2 linked regions of the Lepisosteus oculatus genome follow. The protein of the gene in region 1 interacts with the protein of each later gene in a biochemical or structural test. Links are inferred from orthologs where the notes say so. Each region holds a gene or a part of one and is shown on either strand. Other genes may lie near its edges.

Evidence for each region.
Region 2: the proteins of dgkza (region 1) and sntb2 form a complex in vitro, tested with the Homo sapiens proteins (2 studies listed by BioGRID and IntAct, with this or other methods). The link is inferred for Lepisosteus oculatus from reciprocal best matches to the Homo sapiens genes DGKZ and SNTB2.

What each region holds. Positions count from the first base shown.
Region 1 is NC_090716.1:4,643,454-4,650,680, reverse strand, and holds the start of dgkza (diacylglycerol kinase zeta), read right to left. Parts: upstream 3,017-7,227; 5' UTR 2,794-3,016; intron 1-2,793. UniProt on the Homo sapiens protein: Diacylglycerol kinase that converts diacylglycerol/DAG into phosphatidic acid/phosphatidate/PA and regulates the respective levels of these two bioactive lipids.
Region 2 is NC_090715.1:12,723,098-12,731,385, reverse strand, and holds the start of sntb2 (beta-2-syntrophin), read right to left. Parts: upstream 3,167-8,288; 5' UTR 2,946-3,166; coding exon 2,228-2,945; intron 1-2,227. Other genes in the region: spire2 (protein spire homolog 2), read right to left, coding at 6,745-6,958, 7,266-7,363. UniProt on the Homo sapiens protein: Adapter protein that binds to and probably organizes the subcellular localization of a variety of membrane proteins. May link various receptors to the actin cytoskeleton and the dystrophin glycoprotein complex.

The sequences.
Region 1 (7,227 bases):
TGCAGTGCGCAAACAATTTCTTTTTCGGAAATAAATTCAGTCCGGGTGCACAAAAAGTTGTCAGCAGGAAGATCTCGGGTTTAATCATTAGCAAAGCTCTATAAACTTGGTGTGGGGTGGAACTGGAACAGAAAAACGGAAACTGCAACGATCTCTTGCTCTTAGACAAACCTTCTCCGTTTGCCAAAATGGAACCAATCATGGGCTATACAAGACCACAAAAGGTTTGTTAATATTTTGTAATACTTGGAAAATATCTGGAGAACATACTGTAGATAAGCATTCCTTTTTCTTTTAAATGTGTCTGCCAAATTTCGTCCTTTGATTTTTCCCCGACAAGATCTGTTCAACGCCACAAACCAAAAAGTTTCCCTTACCACTATTATATTTTATTCTGTGCACATCTTACAATGCTTTCCACTTCTCTTAAGGTTTTCTGAGGAGGTGGTAGTAAGACACTCCCCGTACTAATGGGAACTAAAAAACCTGATTAACCTTAAAGCTGGTCACAATACAAAGGAACAAAGCTGAGCACAAAGCTTTGATCTTAGAATTATCTAGGAAAACCAAGAGCATAACTCTCCTACCAAATAAAACTTTCCAATACATTTCAGGGCCCACAGTTCATGATTTAATGCAGAATGAGCACAACCAAGAGTCTGCAACCCAGTCAGCCATCACAGACAACAACTCTTGGGAAACGTGTAAACATTTTCATTTTAAACATTATATTATTCAAACTACTTGTGGTTATTTTATTATCATAACGTCTGTCAGTGAAGGGTGCATTTTGTACTAAAAATGGTCTTGGAAAACCGATCGTAATAACTGAGCAACAGATCGCTTCTTACCAGATGAACCATAGCATTATCTGATCACACCTCTAATCTTTATTTTTGAAAGAAAACCTTTTAGCATTGTACTCTAGCATTGTGAAGGAAACTTACTTTAGGTTCAAAGCTTACTGTATATGCAGATGATTCTCATTTATTCATTTATTCAATAAATGTAAAAAATAAATATCTATCCAACTCAGTATTGAATATTTGGGGGATTTCATGGTATAGTAATCCTGTGCAAATTATTAATTCAACATTAAAATATTCTGGAATAACTCACTATTGCCCTGGTTTCCTTTCCAAAAAGATGTGAGACACCACAAACTTATTACAGCTATATTATACATAAAATGAGACTTTAGGTATACACTCCAACAGAAAAACTACTCAAGCCTTTATTTTTATACATACTGTACTACTGTACCAGTAAATGTATTTGCCAGTTACACATAATGAAATGCATGAAAATGCATGAAATGCATATGGAAGTATTATTTCTTTTGTAAAAAGTGTTTCTAGAACTAGTATTTCCAGAACCTACTCAAACTACTGTTTCCAGAAGTAGTTTTCTTTAATTACCAAGAAGCATATTACGACACAATGATTATGTCTTAAGAAAATAAACCACAAAGGAATACATTTTACACCTAGCAATTGATGTCTGTTAATTACTTGAGAATGCACTGTGACCATCTCACACAAGGATAAAAAACACAGGTCAGTTCTCTGACCAGCATTTCAGTAAGTATTTTTTCAGGCACTGAAAAAAGAACTTTTTTTGAAATTATTAAATTGATAGGCTAAACCACTGCCCTGCCCTAAAAAATAGAAGAATGCATTTCTCTCCCTCTTGCTAGAGCTTCATTGGGACCAGTTTGAAAAGAAAAAACACACAAAAGGCCTCTGCAGTATTTTCTCCCCATCTCTAATCCTCTACACTGTAAACACAACATTATCATCTGCAAGGAATTAAAGCAGCACTAAAGAATCAGTGTTTTTAGGTTTTTCTTTTCAAATTTGTACAATTACTTCACACAACAATTGCACAAAAACATTTCAAACTATTTGCTTTCTTTGGGGTTTTGAAATTGTATCGATTTTCATCTTCAACAACTTGAACACAGTACCTAGTAGTTTACATTAATTAGTTAGAAATTACTTGAACTCTGCAGCTTGATAATAAATTGATTTTGGGAGCAGTGGTTGTGAGACTGTAAGGTTGTGGGTTTGAATCTCAGGAGCGACACTCCTGTCGTTCTCCTGAACAAGGTTCTTCAGCTCAGTTGTCCCAATAAAGCTACACAAAAGGATACAAATAGACATCGCTTGAGATAATATACACTGATTCCTGAGATCTGTACATCATTGATTGATGTCTTAGAAAAACTGGCCTTTGTTTTGAATAAAACTTATTCGATAAAGTGGACCTGGCTTTTTAAGAATCAAAGTGGAAACAAAAATGCATCACCCTATGTGGAACATGACAGTTTCATACTTCACAAAGTCAAACCGTAAAATTCCAAATTCCCCAAAGGAGTAGCTCTAAACGCACTACATGTCAAGCGTTTCGCCATTTGCTTTAAAATGGATCTTTAAGCACAATGACACTCATCTTCATTAACAGAGGAACTGCTAAAAACCATCCCAGAAACACAGAAGTACACTATTGCTTGCACTATAAAAACAAACCTGGTTTTATATTTTTGTACCTTGATGCAAAAGCATTTCTAAAAAAAAAAAAACAATTTAAATTAAATCAGTCCCACTGCAGAATTTTAAATCTTTGTGGTAGTCACTATATTCAGTGTACAGCCACGTACAGTATCAGTGTAAATATTAGAGACCTCTAAAGAAATAAGTTCTGCGGCTTCAAAAACTAAGACAGTAATGCATTCCCAGACCAATTTAAAACAACGATTTTACAAGACTCAATAGTAAAAAATATTCATACAACCTGGTCTCTGAGGAGAGAGAGTGTTTATCATCCAACCTTTCTTTTGTCCTGTAAACTCCAAGTGATTTAAAGAATTAAAAAGTATAGATCAATCTCTTGGAAGGAGATAGGAGACGGCTGGCCTACTGTAACAGACTTGCTGGAGTGGAAAAGCCAGAGAGAAAAACGTAGTAGGGGGGAGTGGGAGAGAGAGACGATGTGAGTGCTTGCATTAAAATAACTCTTGAGCTGGTAACAGAGTGCACTTCCTCTATATGCTGTTGAGTGTGCGCGCGTGCGCGTGCACACATGCACACACACAGTCACTCGCTGGCTCAATCTGCACAGCAAATCCAGCCAACAGATTAACTCTGTCCTTGGTTTCTACAGCAACCATGCACATAAGTGACCTGACACTAGCACGTACACAAACACACACAAACAGATGCACCCCAACTGCAAGTAAACCAGTCCTTTCAGTTACTTCTGCAAAAGCAAACTTTTACCCTGTCAAAAGCACTGGTGAAAAGGAAAAAAACATGCATCAAGACTCAAAGTTTACCCAGTTATGGTCTAGTCAGTGACCTAGAATCCAAATAGATCTGCATCTCTCACAACAGTCACAAGGAAATTGATAAATCAATACGGCACAGAAATCTCAACATTATTTTAACAAATAGATCTTAATGGCCACACATCAAGAGATAGTAAGAACACAGCAGTGTGTGACTATTTAAGTTCTAAATCAATAGCTTACAATACTCTTAGATAGAGCTAAAGATAAACATCACAATTTTTAAAGGAAAACAAAATAAAACAAGCTTGCACTTGTTTGAGATCTGAAACAAAGTGCCAATTAATATGTTTTATGATCCCTTTTAGATATTGTCCTTTAACAAAGCACAGATGAAACTGAAATGTCATTTACTGTTACCTAACCCATGTTTCTGTCACTGAAGAAGATTTTTTGTATTCTGTAACATCCCCATGGAGTGATTTAGAGACTAAAATGAAGCACTCATTAAATGTCTACAAAATACAAACCTTTCAATTTTAATTTAAAAAAATCTGTAGATAGTGAATTTAAAAATGCAATCTCTAAAACCTCTCTTCTCTTATGTTCTTTGAAAAACATATTTGCAGGTTATGTTTTTGATAAATACTGTTTTGATAAAGAGCAAGCTGTAGTTGTTATGAATTTGGGATATATGAATATTAATTAGTCCCAGTTGTTTCACAATGCTCAACAAGTGCCAATTTACAGCAGCCTCTTTAAGCAGTTCTACTTCCTGGCATTGTGAAACAGACATGGCTAATTAAATAATTACTTATTATCTATGATATATTATGTACCCTACTGACACAGGCAAGGATGTTGATAATCACAGCCAGGCTCATCCTCTAGAGCAGAAAGTTCACGCAAGGTGGAAAGAGCAAAACAGACCATCTGACGTAACAAAATCTCTCCCAGAGAATGAAGTCTCTTCGTTGCCGGTTTCAGTTCCGTAGGGTTTACTCTTGCTCAAAAACCTGACTCCTACCTACCAACAGATCTTCCCCACCCAGCACAGATGAAAGACACAGCTTCATCCTCTAATACTCTGAGGCCGTCACAATGGGTTTCACATGTGCCTCAACCCTCGAGAATTTTCTATAGGGCATCTTACTCTGCAAGCTCTCTTGGGAAATAGAGTTCAACTAGCATCTTAACCCAGGATGATGACTCTCCAATTCATGTTCCAAATCTGTACGCCTCACAGGTTCCTACCCCAGAGAATAAAACACAGTTTACAGTATACTGTACATACATGCAAATATTCACATTCACACACTCATATTGCATATGTACACAGAATTCTGAAATGTTTCTTTTTCTTTGTTCACTGTGTGAATTAAAGGGCTTGACTGTGGCCTTGTCTCTGGTGGGTGGAGATACGAAAAAGCCAAATCTGTCCCGAGCAAGAGATGACCTTCCATGCATAGCACACTGTACTGTACCTGGTTTCAATGTCTTTAAAACCAATTATCATCCTCTCATAGCTGGTTCGGAGAATTGAATTTCACACCAGAGGAAAGGCAATCACTCTTTAGATTGCACAAAAGCACACAGAGAAAGAATCCATTTTCACCTGTGATTTCCCAAGCTGAAAAATGTGCTTGTTAACATCCCCACCCCCATGGAAATCTGTCACAACAATTGTTTTTCCCTGCAAAGCCTTTGCTGCCTCTTCGGCTCCTTTACAAGCAAACCTTTCCCCGAGAGACAGAATCAACATATTTCACAAAAGTTCCCTAGTGTAGATAAAGAGGTTTTACAAATGTTGACACCAAGCAGCTAACAAACTCACGTTCTGCCTCAGAGTTATCATTTTCACAAACATAAAAGCCAGATAATTAGGCTCACAACATCCATAGACAGATGTCAAACAAGCACTTTTAAGACAACACTACAGTAGGTCACATTTGTCCAACTGGACCCAACAATTTGGGAAAGTGGGAAACACAGGTGTGAGTCTGGGCTCTGTTATTTGCCAAGAATTACCCAGGGTTCACCAAGCCCCTATGCGCCAGCAGCATTATTATCAAGAGCTACAGCTGCCCTCCGTCTGAGGCCCTAGCTGTGTCAGCGGTGCTTGGGGCTCACAGTGTGAATAGGACAAGGCTGTTTCTTTTCCTGTGCAGGCAGGGAGGTTGGAGAATTGGCAGCTCCAAATCTGAGGCAGGTGAATGAACAGGATAAATTGCACCACCTTAAAAAGGTGCATCTTCACATGCTAATTATCATCCAGCTCTTGGGCAGAAACAGAAGAATGTTCAGGCTGCCTCCCTCAGCACCTGTCGGAAGGCACTTTTAACACACTACAGTGACAAACGCAAATGAGTTTGCAGCAAGAACATTTGATGTGGCAGTTGTGGGAGAGAGCATCGGTGAAATCGAAGAGCTTTCTTCTCACCTGGTCGCCGGCTGAAAAGCAGAATCAGGTGTGAGCTGTGCAAGTGGTTTAAATTCATTTGCAAAGGAAAGCACGTCTTACGAAAGGGACTGGCTGCGTTATCTTTTTTAAACATTCAAAAGTGAAACGGGCTCTGGGTTTGGACCATTTATTTCTTCTTGCCAAGATTGTAAATAACATTTGGTGGCTTCAGTAGTCATTCCTACAGTCAGTAACAGCGTACTTGAAAATAGGAATCTTTTGTGAATTTAGAATGAAAAATGACGTTTCTTCTTGGTGGCTGTGTTTTAGTTTTGCATTACTTCCAGAGCTCAGAGAGGTTGCTGTTCATCATCAAAACGAAATGAACACAGTTTATTAACTGCTTGTAATATCTGATCGCCAGATCCCGGACAGTACAGTTAGCAAGGCTGGACTTCGTCAGTACAGGGATTTGAGATGTCAAAAGGAAAACCCAGATTGCCAACATTAAATGGTGTCAGGAGAACAGTAGGTGACACTCATACTTTAGGATTATTCCTAATTTCCAAAAAAACAAATACCCCAGGATGGTGACTGAGGACACTCTCCTTTGGATGATATTAAACTGAGGTCTTAGGATCTTGATTGTTAATCTTACGGTACTGTTTAAAAGAGTAGGAGTGTTAACCGTGCTGTCTTAGTAAATTCAATGGTTGGTTTATTTAATCTGACCTACCTAAGGTCCCTCTCAATTCAGCACTTGACCAGGTAAATACTCAGCTAGTTTCTTTAGTTGCACTGCAAAACATACAGGTCTATTTACTCTAAAACTTACACCTGCTTACCTATCCAAATGCCCAAGTGATTTGAAAACAGCCCAAAGGTCTATTATAATCTAGTATCCACATCTGTGACAGAAAGATTTCCATCTTCTTTAGGTAAGCAGGAATACAGAAAAAAAGACAAATAAGCCTATATCCAAGGCAAGGCTGGAAACTGAAAGTTGATCTTACAAAATGTTTACATTCTTTTCATCTACAGACAAATTCCAGCCAGGGTTCCCAAAGATGCCATATGGTATGAAATCAAAACTAATCTTTCAATCTGCAAATGTAGTTTAGAGGGTTAAGAAAGGTTTTAACAACTCTCACTCTGCAGTATTTTTCTGTATTTGAAAGTCACTGAAAAAAACAAGGCTGGAGACCTTGGAATTGCTCTGAACAAATGCAAAAACAGGCACCCAAAAGGGGATTTCAGAAATTCTCCTGTCTGGCGATGAGCAATTCCATTTAAAATTTCATCTGCAGAGAAATTCAGATCTGCCCTGCAGCCAAATAAAAGTAAGCAAATCCATCCACAAGCTAATTATAAAAGTGGTCCAAAATTAAATGTGCAACTTAATTTTATATATGCTGTCAAAGCCAAAGCACTTGCCTGTGTAAAGTAAAGTATGGCATACAAAACACAGCATAAAAAGTTATTCAAAACGGTTTTAAAGGGAAAAAAAACTCTATACTCAGTGCATGACTTTTTTGTTTCG
Region 2 (8,288 bases), on another chromosome or scaffold:
ACAAGCCAGGCTCCGAGCCCGGGTCCATCCCAGTGAAAAAGGACGGGATTCGGACAAGAGGGTCCAAATTTTGTCCTCTGCAACCATTCCAGGAGCTAGGGAGGACACTGCGGATGAATATAATCTGACCGCATTCCATGACTTCTCCCATTATAAAAGAACATAAGTCAGTTTCTTCCATTTCTACCTAAAGTTTGACCTAAATAGTTACACGATGATTTAAAGAGGATTTGAAACCAGGGGACAGCAGCACTCTAGGATAAGACACAGGAGCCACTCGATTTTGGAAAAGCATTCTTTATTGCTTTCCTTGAATACGAAAGGTACACGGGTCTAATGGAAAGAACGGTGTCGGCGGGAGAATTTCCCTCTCGCAGCGCTGGGGCCCTGGGTTCAGTTGCTGGGGTGCTATCTGCCCGGAGTTTGCATGTTCTCCCCGAGTTTATTGGGGTTTCCTCCGGATGCTCCGGTTTCCTCCCCCAGTCCAAAAATATCTTAATAGGTTAACTGGCTTCTGCTACTTTGGCCCCGGTGACACAGTGTGAGTGTGAGCATGCTCGGGCCTGTGTGTGCCCTGCGATGGACTGGTGTCCCATCCAGGGTGTACCCTGCCTTACGCCCAGTGCTCGCCGAGAAAGGCTCTGGCTCTCCAGCAGCACCGCGCCGATAGAAGAGGTTGGAAAACGGGTGGACAGAAAGTACTGCACAACTGCAAGGACAGCACACCGGCTGTTTTTGTTTCAGACGCACAGACCTGCAGTTGGGACGACATGAGGGCATGGAGGTTAGCGCTGGCTGCCGCATCACAGCTCTTGGATCCTGGCTTCGATTCTGAACCGAGGTACCGTTTGTGTGGTGTTTGCATGTCAGGCCACACAAATAAGGGGGGTTTCAGCTTCCTCCCACTCTCCAAGGACATGCTGGCTGCTTTAACTGCTATGCCTCCAGCAGGGTGTCTGCTTTCCCAGACAAGACCCAAGTCTTACATTGTAGATACAGGCTCAGCAGGAACAGCGGTGAAGAGGAGCACTGTAGGAGCCTGTGCCTCCCGCCTCACGTCACACACTCCAGTGAATGTGGGAGGAATGGCACGAGAAACTGTCTCCTGCAACTTCAAAACGAAGGACAAGGCTCAGAACGAGTTTCCTGTCCCATTTTTCCAGATAACTAGGCTATACTATGAGCCCAGCACATGATGAAAGGCAGTACATACTGTTATCTGCTACGCAAAGAAGGACAAAGTAGATCAGCGCAAAATATTTCTATAAAATCCCCCCACACACACACACTTATACCAGAACACCGTGTAGGAAGTACACTGGAAAAAAATGCGTGAAATGTTTAACCACGAGAACAGATGACTGCTGTGAAATGTTCTCCAAAACACTGGGTTTGACGGCGACGTACTTCCTGTCGGAGCTCGACAGAGAGACACCGCTGCAGTTCGGTACCAGCTGGTCTGAGGAGGGGGACTAATTGATCGATCAAAAGCTCATTAATAGTAGGGCGGTGGCTCCAGTTATTAACCACACACGTCGAAGTCACCAGAACAACCTGCCTCACCTTTGCAAACCTCGCGGCGCTGTAACGAGCGTGTCATGCCGGCGAGGTGTTTCAACATGTACATCAGATCACTCACCTCCAGATAACGACGGGATTTAGGAAGAAAGGCGCTTGGATTTGAAGACTGGAATAGGGTCTTAGACGGGATCTTGAAACGACCAGCAATATAAACAGAGTAGCGCCGTCTGTCTTGCTTATATAAATCTTTAAAAGAAGGCGAGTATACACTGAAATGCTCAAGTACCCAGTAGACCCAAGTTCGAGCATGAAGGTATCCCACAAGCACTTCTGCATTCAGTGTAAAACAAGGGAGCAACATTTTCTGAACCCTGCATCACGAAAAATCTGTCCAATTGACTCGCATCTTAAGCATTTACGATTCCCCCTTAAATGTAATTGATTCCCTCATTCCGTGAGCCCCGAGTTTCGTTGACGGATTGAGGCATGCCGCAGTCAAAAACACTTCAAAGAAGCTCGTCTCGCTACTTCATCTCTGTGCGCGCACACACACACAAAATAAAATAATCATAATAATAACCTCCGCGCTTTCCAGTTTTACGCGCACGACTTCGGTCCCAGCCGGTGAAGTCCGCGCACAAACCTTTTCCCACCCACCGCCGTGGCCTAAAGAGGTGAATCCCCGAGATCGTCTGCGATCACGTACCTTCCAGAGTCACCTCCTTGCCGGCCTTTTTCAGCGCCTGCACGGCCTGATCGTGCGTGGCTTCCCGCAGGTCGTTGCCGTTGACCGACAGGATGGCATCGCCGACCCGCAGCGCCCGGCTCTGGTCTGCGGCGAGCCCGGGGAAGATCTTGGAGATGAGAATGGGCATGCGGTTCTCCCGTCCCCCCTTGATGCTGATGCCGAGCCCGCCGGACTCCTGTTTCACCACTCGCACTCTCCGCACCGCCTCGGAGCCGGCACTTTCCAGGCCGGGGTGGGTATCGCCCAGCCTCAGGGGTCCGGTGCTGCTGAAGCTTGAGCCGGGGCTGCCGTAACTGGAGCCGGGGCTGCCCAGGTCGGAGCTGGTGCCGTTATCTTGAGCGATCCTGCCCGAGCCCGGGCTGCCGAAAGCGTAGCCCGTGTCGGTCTGAGCCCGACTGACCCCGCCGCCCGCCGGGCTCCCGGTGCGTCTCAGCGCGCCGTGGTTCGGGTGCTGGCTCTGCGTCCGGGTCGGACCGCCCGACTCGGTCCCGTTCGACAGCCCGTTCCACAGGCCCGGCGAGGGGCTGTAATCCGCACTGCCGCCCGGTCCGATGGGCTCGGCATCCGCTGTCAAAGTTAGGGTCTCACGGGTGAGTTCTGCCAGGACCCTAATCCAGCGGTCCCGGAGCAGAAGGTCCAGAAGTCCGTTCTTATCAGCTCTCGTCCAGACGGCCATCGTGGTCGTTTTTTAAACTACGCCCGTCATAGTTGTTCAACTTTTTCTTTCCCTTCTTTATCAGCGCCAAGTTACAAGCAAAACCCGTCACACCCACAAACCCATTGAGCAGAAAAGTGCGCTGGAAGTCGAGTTGACTCGCGAAAGAAAATAAGAGGTTAGACCGACTTTTTTATTTATTCATGAAGGAAAGCCGAGGAGAGGAGAAGGGTGGTGGGGATAAAAACTTTACAACGGGGCAGGGTGAGACGGCGGCCAATCGTGGAAACGGGGCTGTTTATTATTCATAAGGAGGAAGGGCCTCTCCTGTCAAAAAATACCTGCTCCTGAACTACACGTGTCCGGCTGCGGGTCGCCGCATGTGGGCGGGGGGGCTCCGGGCCCTGACCCCGACCAGCCAGCCGAAAACCATCCAGACGCGGCCGGGGACCGGCGGCTAACGCGATGTGTCGCAATTACACACACAACTGGCGTGCTGTCGATCAATGAAGCAAGTAATGCGCTCCATTAAGGAGACCTCTAGCACTCGAGGGCTTCCAAGTGTTTTCTCAATGACTGACTTTTACTTGGGATGGCGTTGTTAGTTTTGGCCATCACACGGCACCACAAAAACAACAACAACAACAACAACAACAACAACAACAACAAAAAAGCTGTGGAAAGAGTTCAAGAAGAGAGCACCCCTTGCCTCAGGTGTTTATCAGATAGGGACAGTTTAAGGGCGCTAAGTCATTTCCATCTCGATCAAAACTGAGTTGAAAGGATAGAGATTTGAAGGTGTAAGGCTGAAGGTGGTTTCACACTGGGTAGCACAACCACGACACACAACCAGTGCCACAACCAGGGAGGGGAATTTATTTGGTACGGAGAATAGGAAATAATTCTTTACTCAAGACGGGCCTTCTCTCGCTTGCATCATTTTTGAAATAGTATTTCCATAAAGTAAAAAATAACAATAGCAAATCTCTCTCACGTGATCACAGTTACTACAGTATAACTTTGGTGATAGTTTTAGATGAGTGGTCAGCAATCTGGACCTGCGACCAGGCTTGATCGAGTCTCTTGCCTTGAAATTGTACAGTAAGTGCAGACTTTACTTCAAGTGACATATACAGTACACTGCATTGTCAAGTCTTGACTGTGTAGTCTCGGCGAAGTCCCACAGTCACTTAATATTGATCCAGAAGATCTGTCGTTGACTCTTGAAGCGCATTTAAAAACAGAGCGCAGCAAATGTTGTTCAAGTTTGTGGGTCGCTATTGCCACCTAGTGGCATAAAAATGCACAACATCTGATCGTGCTTGGCAGAATTATGGTAGACTTGACAAATTACCCTGACCCTCAGGAACACTCCAGTCTTCAAAAAGCCCAGCGTGTTCCTTCATGCTGTGGGAACTGAAACGGAATTTAAAACACTTTTGCAGCCATTCATCCAAGAGTTTGAGAGTTATTTAAAGTAAAAAGGATATTTTTTTAGAAAATAGTTTCTAGCTCTCTATTTAATAGCTATCTCATTGTGTTTTGTTAACACCATTGTGTATAAAGAAGTAAAATGATGATGGTGGTTGCTCTTACTGTCATTATTATTCATTAGATTGATAACTGTGTGGATAAGCCTACAGCAGAGCTCACTGAAGAGTTGCACAGCATGCTGTGTGAATGTCTTGTCAATGTCTTGTCTGATGCAAGCTTTTGCTCAGTTGAACAAAGCTCTTTTCCAGGTTTTATGTACTGTATTCAATGAAGTGATATACACTAAGGTGCCACACCCAGAAACATTCAGTGACCTTGGAAGAAGTATGAACGTTTGACAGAACAAACAAAAAATATAACTGCTGTAGTGAAGATCTTGAAGGCAGTTTGTGCTTCTACCATGCAATTGGTGATCGTGAACATTGTGTTAGATTAGCACCTTGATTTATGTGGAAAAATATATTTTAATCATGCACCTACTAGCATAGCTTCGGGAATGCTCAGCCGAGGACTAAATTGAATGTTCAAGGGAGAACACGGATTTTGCAAATGGATTTTTTATAATGTTTTTTATTAAACGAGTTGCAACTTTATTTGTAGCAGAATAACTTTATGGGACCTCATACAAATGCAAATACCTGCTGACAATGATTAAATACTATACTGCTTTTAGGGTAATTCTTACTCTCCTGTTTCAAAATTATTCTCTTTAGTTTTATTTCCAGTACATGCAAAAATGTAGGAAATGCATTAAATTCTTGTACTTGCTTGAATCAAGGGTCTCTTTCGGACAGATTTTATATTTTTACAATTGCATTGACTCGGTATAGCTGGGATTCAGACCCGCGTGTGTCTCATGTCAACAAGACTCACTCGTGATATCAGCTAAAGGATCCTGAAGCTCTGGACCTGACTCAAGACTCTTGGGAAACATCTGAGTTAAGCTGAGCAATTCTGACTTGACTACAGGTCTCCATGATGGTATATTGTTTGATCAAAAGTAACATGGATTGTAAATGGTCACAACGCAGATGCCAGGCCATGTAGATTTATTGCAGCTTAATTTTATTAAGTGTTTACAGGGTTCTGACATGAAAAAAGGCTTTGCACCATCATGTCTTTAAACTGGCCGGTGAAAGCAAAATACTGCCAACGTGGAAGCTTTCTAAATTAGTGCAGCTATCATTTTGCTCAATATCCTTCCTTGCAGAGGAAAATACCTAGATAAAACGTAACCGGTTCAGGTCACATCCACTCAGGATAGAAAGAAGAAAAATCTCCAAATAAGTTGGAAAAGCAAAATTTTAAAAAGCAAAAAAAGGATTGTGATAGAGTACACCAGTCAATAAAAATATGATTCTGACATTCAAATTCTGAGGTCTGAATGAAATTGATTTTGTTTTGTACACTGGACATTGCGTTCTGAACCACAAATTAAAAAAAAAGAAAAAATAAATTTTCCCCCAACAGAGACTGAATTATGATACAGATGTTTTCACCATGGGATTTCAGAAGCACCTGGATGACAATACTCATACGAAGCAGAAGAGCTTTCCCGAGATGATTTCTAAAGTTCTCTAAAGTTTCTAAAGTTTCACTTTTGCACAGGTCCTGCACAGCCGGGCGGCGTGAACTCTCAGCTCTCTGCAGCGGGACGACAGAGACAGCCCCGACACCCCTTGTGGCTTCTATTAATGTCAACCACCTCTGTGTTTGATGCTCTTGTTGAAACAGGTGGCGCAAGACACAGAGCAGGTCTGCTCGCAGACTCTCATTTGGATACCGACGATGTGGCAAGCTGTGTTTTTCCACGTGGAGTTTTCGATGTCCAAAATAAAGAAGAACAACTGTGAGGCAATGACCTCCACGGATTTTAGGGTCACATTCCCTTGCTCCTCATTTCTTCTCTCTTTGGCCCCGCTTTTAGGGTGACAAACCTTCACCCTTCCTCTTAACCAGTGCTCACATCGCAAAAGCAGCACTTACAGTACGTCTTGGGGAAGGCAGACTCCAACACATCCCAACGGGTCAAGTGCTAATTCCCCTTGGGGGGGCTTATTTTGCGCGTGCTGGGTCAAGTCTCTCTAAAACGTATTCCGATGACGTTTTGAAAAAGAGGTTATAATAGGCGACTGGAGCAAATGAATCACAACTTCAGGCAGAGAACAGCCGCAAACGTGAGGCGTTTGTCGTGGGAACCAGAAGACATTCACGCGCGGCGGTAACTCGTACCATGCCAGAAGAGGAACATCGAGGTTTATTTCAACACACAAATGGCGCTATGTTTTTCTTTCAGGGAGGGCGTATGGCGTGAAAGGCAAGCACTTTATTGGAACTTGGCACCTCTCCCAGGGCCCACCCTGACGGCCTGGGCTCTCTTGGGAGTGTTGTTCAGGATGTCCAAGCTCTTCCGGCTGGAGGTGATGACGTCGCCCACGAACTTGGCGCACTCAGAGCAGATGTCCTTCAGGCTGCAGCCGTTGGCGTAGAGGTGGGGGAACTCCTCTTCCACCGAGCGGCTCGTCAGGCTCCGCAGGGACCTAAAGAAAGAGCAGGGAAGGAGCGCTGTGAGGAGCGTCGCTGTCGAGCGTCCTCATGAGAGAAAGACAACCTGTCTGGAGATACCTTTCAGGATCATGGCGACTGCAGGCGTACGATTTGCCATGAATTCTAGGTAGGAATATTAATAATCTCTTGGTGTTTCCCAAAGCCGGGAAGCGGAAAGTTGGTTTTTCGGATCATATTAATATTTTGATATTCTAATAATATGAATGTTCATTCCCTATTGCAGTTGTCCTAGACGTAGTGGCAAGAGGGACAGGAGCCAGGGCTCGCCAGGTAACTTACTGAAAGACCTCTCCCTTCCTGGGGTGGCTGACTGTGCCACTCTCAAAGCCCACGGTGTAGACCGGAATGTGGGCCAGCTTCTTGGAGGGGATCTTCATCTGCACAACAAAGAAGACCACACTGACACCACCACTCACTGCAGCCTCGCAGAGGCACTAGTTAAAACAGTGGGAAGCACCTCCGCACAGGTTAGGTTATAGTCTCCCACTTTCAACTGCACAGCAACGCGTGTGATGGGGAATCAAGCACGCAGATTATAAAATTCAGATACAAGCGTTCATTGCGCAGGGGCTCCCGAGGGCTCTCGATCAGTTAGATTGTGCTCCCAGTACAGGTTAAAGATACATCCCGTCCATCACAAGTTCAAGTCTGGGTCATGTGACTGGTCAGCGGAGAAAGGATTTCCCATGGAGCACTGCACAGTAGACTCTTCTGGCGAAAGACTGGCCCCTGTGACTTCCCCGTCACCTGCAGCCTTGGAGAGTGATGTCAGCGAGGGACATCCTGCTCCTCCAATCAGAGGTTCAGGAGGCCAGTGGGTGGGCGGGTTAGAGGAGATGACCACACCAGGAATGTTTCATGTTTAAGGATAATTTACATGAATGATTTGGCGTAATGTACTTACATTATGCATATATTATACAAAATGCAATGCAATACTACATATTGGTCTACATTACCACTACCCACTACATTGGTCCCAAGTTGCTTTGTGGGAAACATAAGAATAATAACAAACAATAGGAAGACATTCAGCCATCTAGCCCATTTGGTTTTAATAGTTAATTGATCTTAGGAGCTCATCCAGTTGTTTCCTGAAAGAGGCTAGGGTGTTGGCTTCAACAACATGGCAGGGCAGCTTGTTCCATACCCCCACAACCCTCTGGATAAAGCAGTGCCTCCTGTTCTCAGTCTTAAATGCACTTCCATGTCGTTTCCAGTTGTGTCCTCTGGTTCTTGTTTCAGTGTTTGTTCGGACAGTTCAATGTCCTAAGTCTTCTGGGTTGACTTTGTCACAGTTTG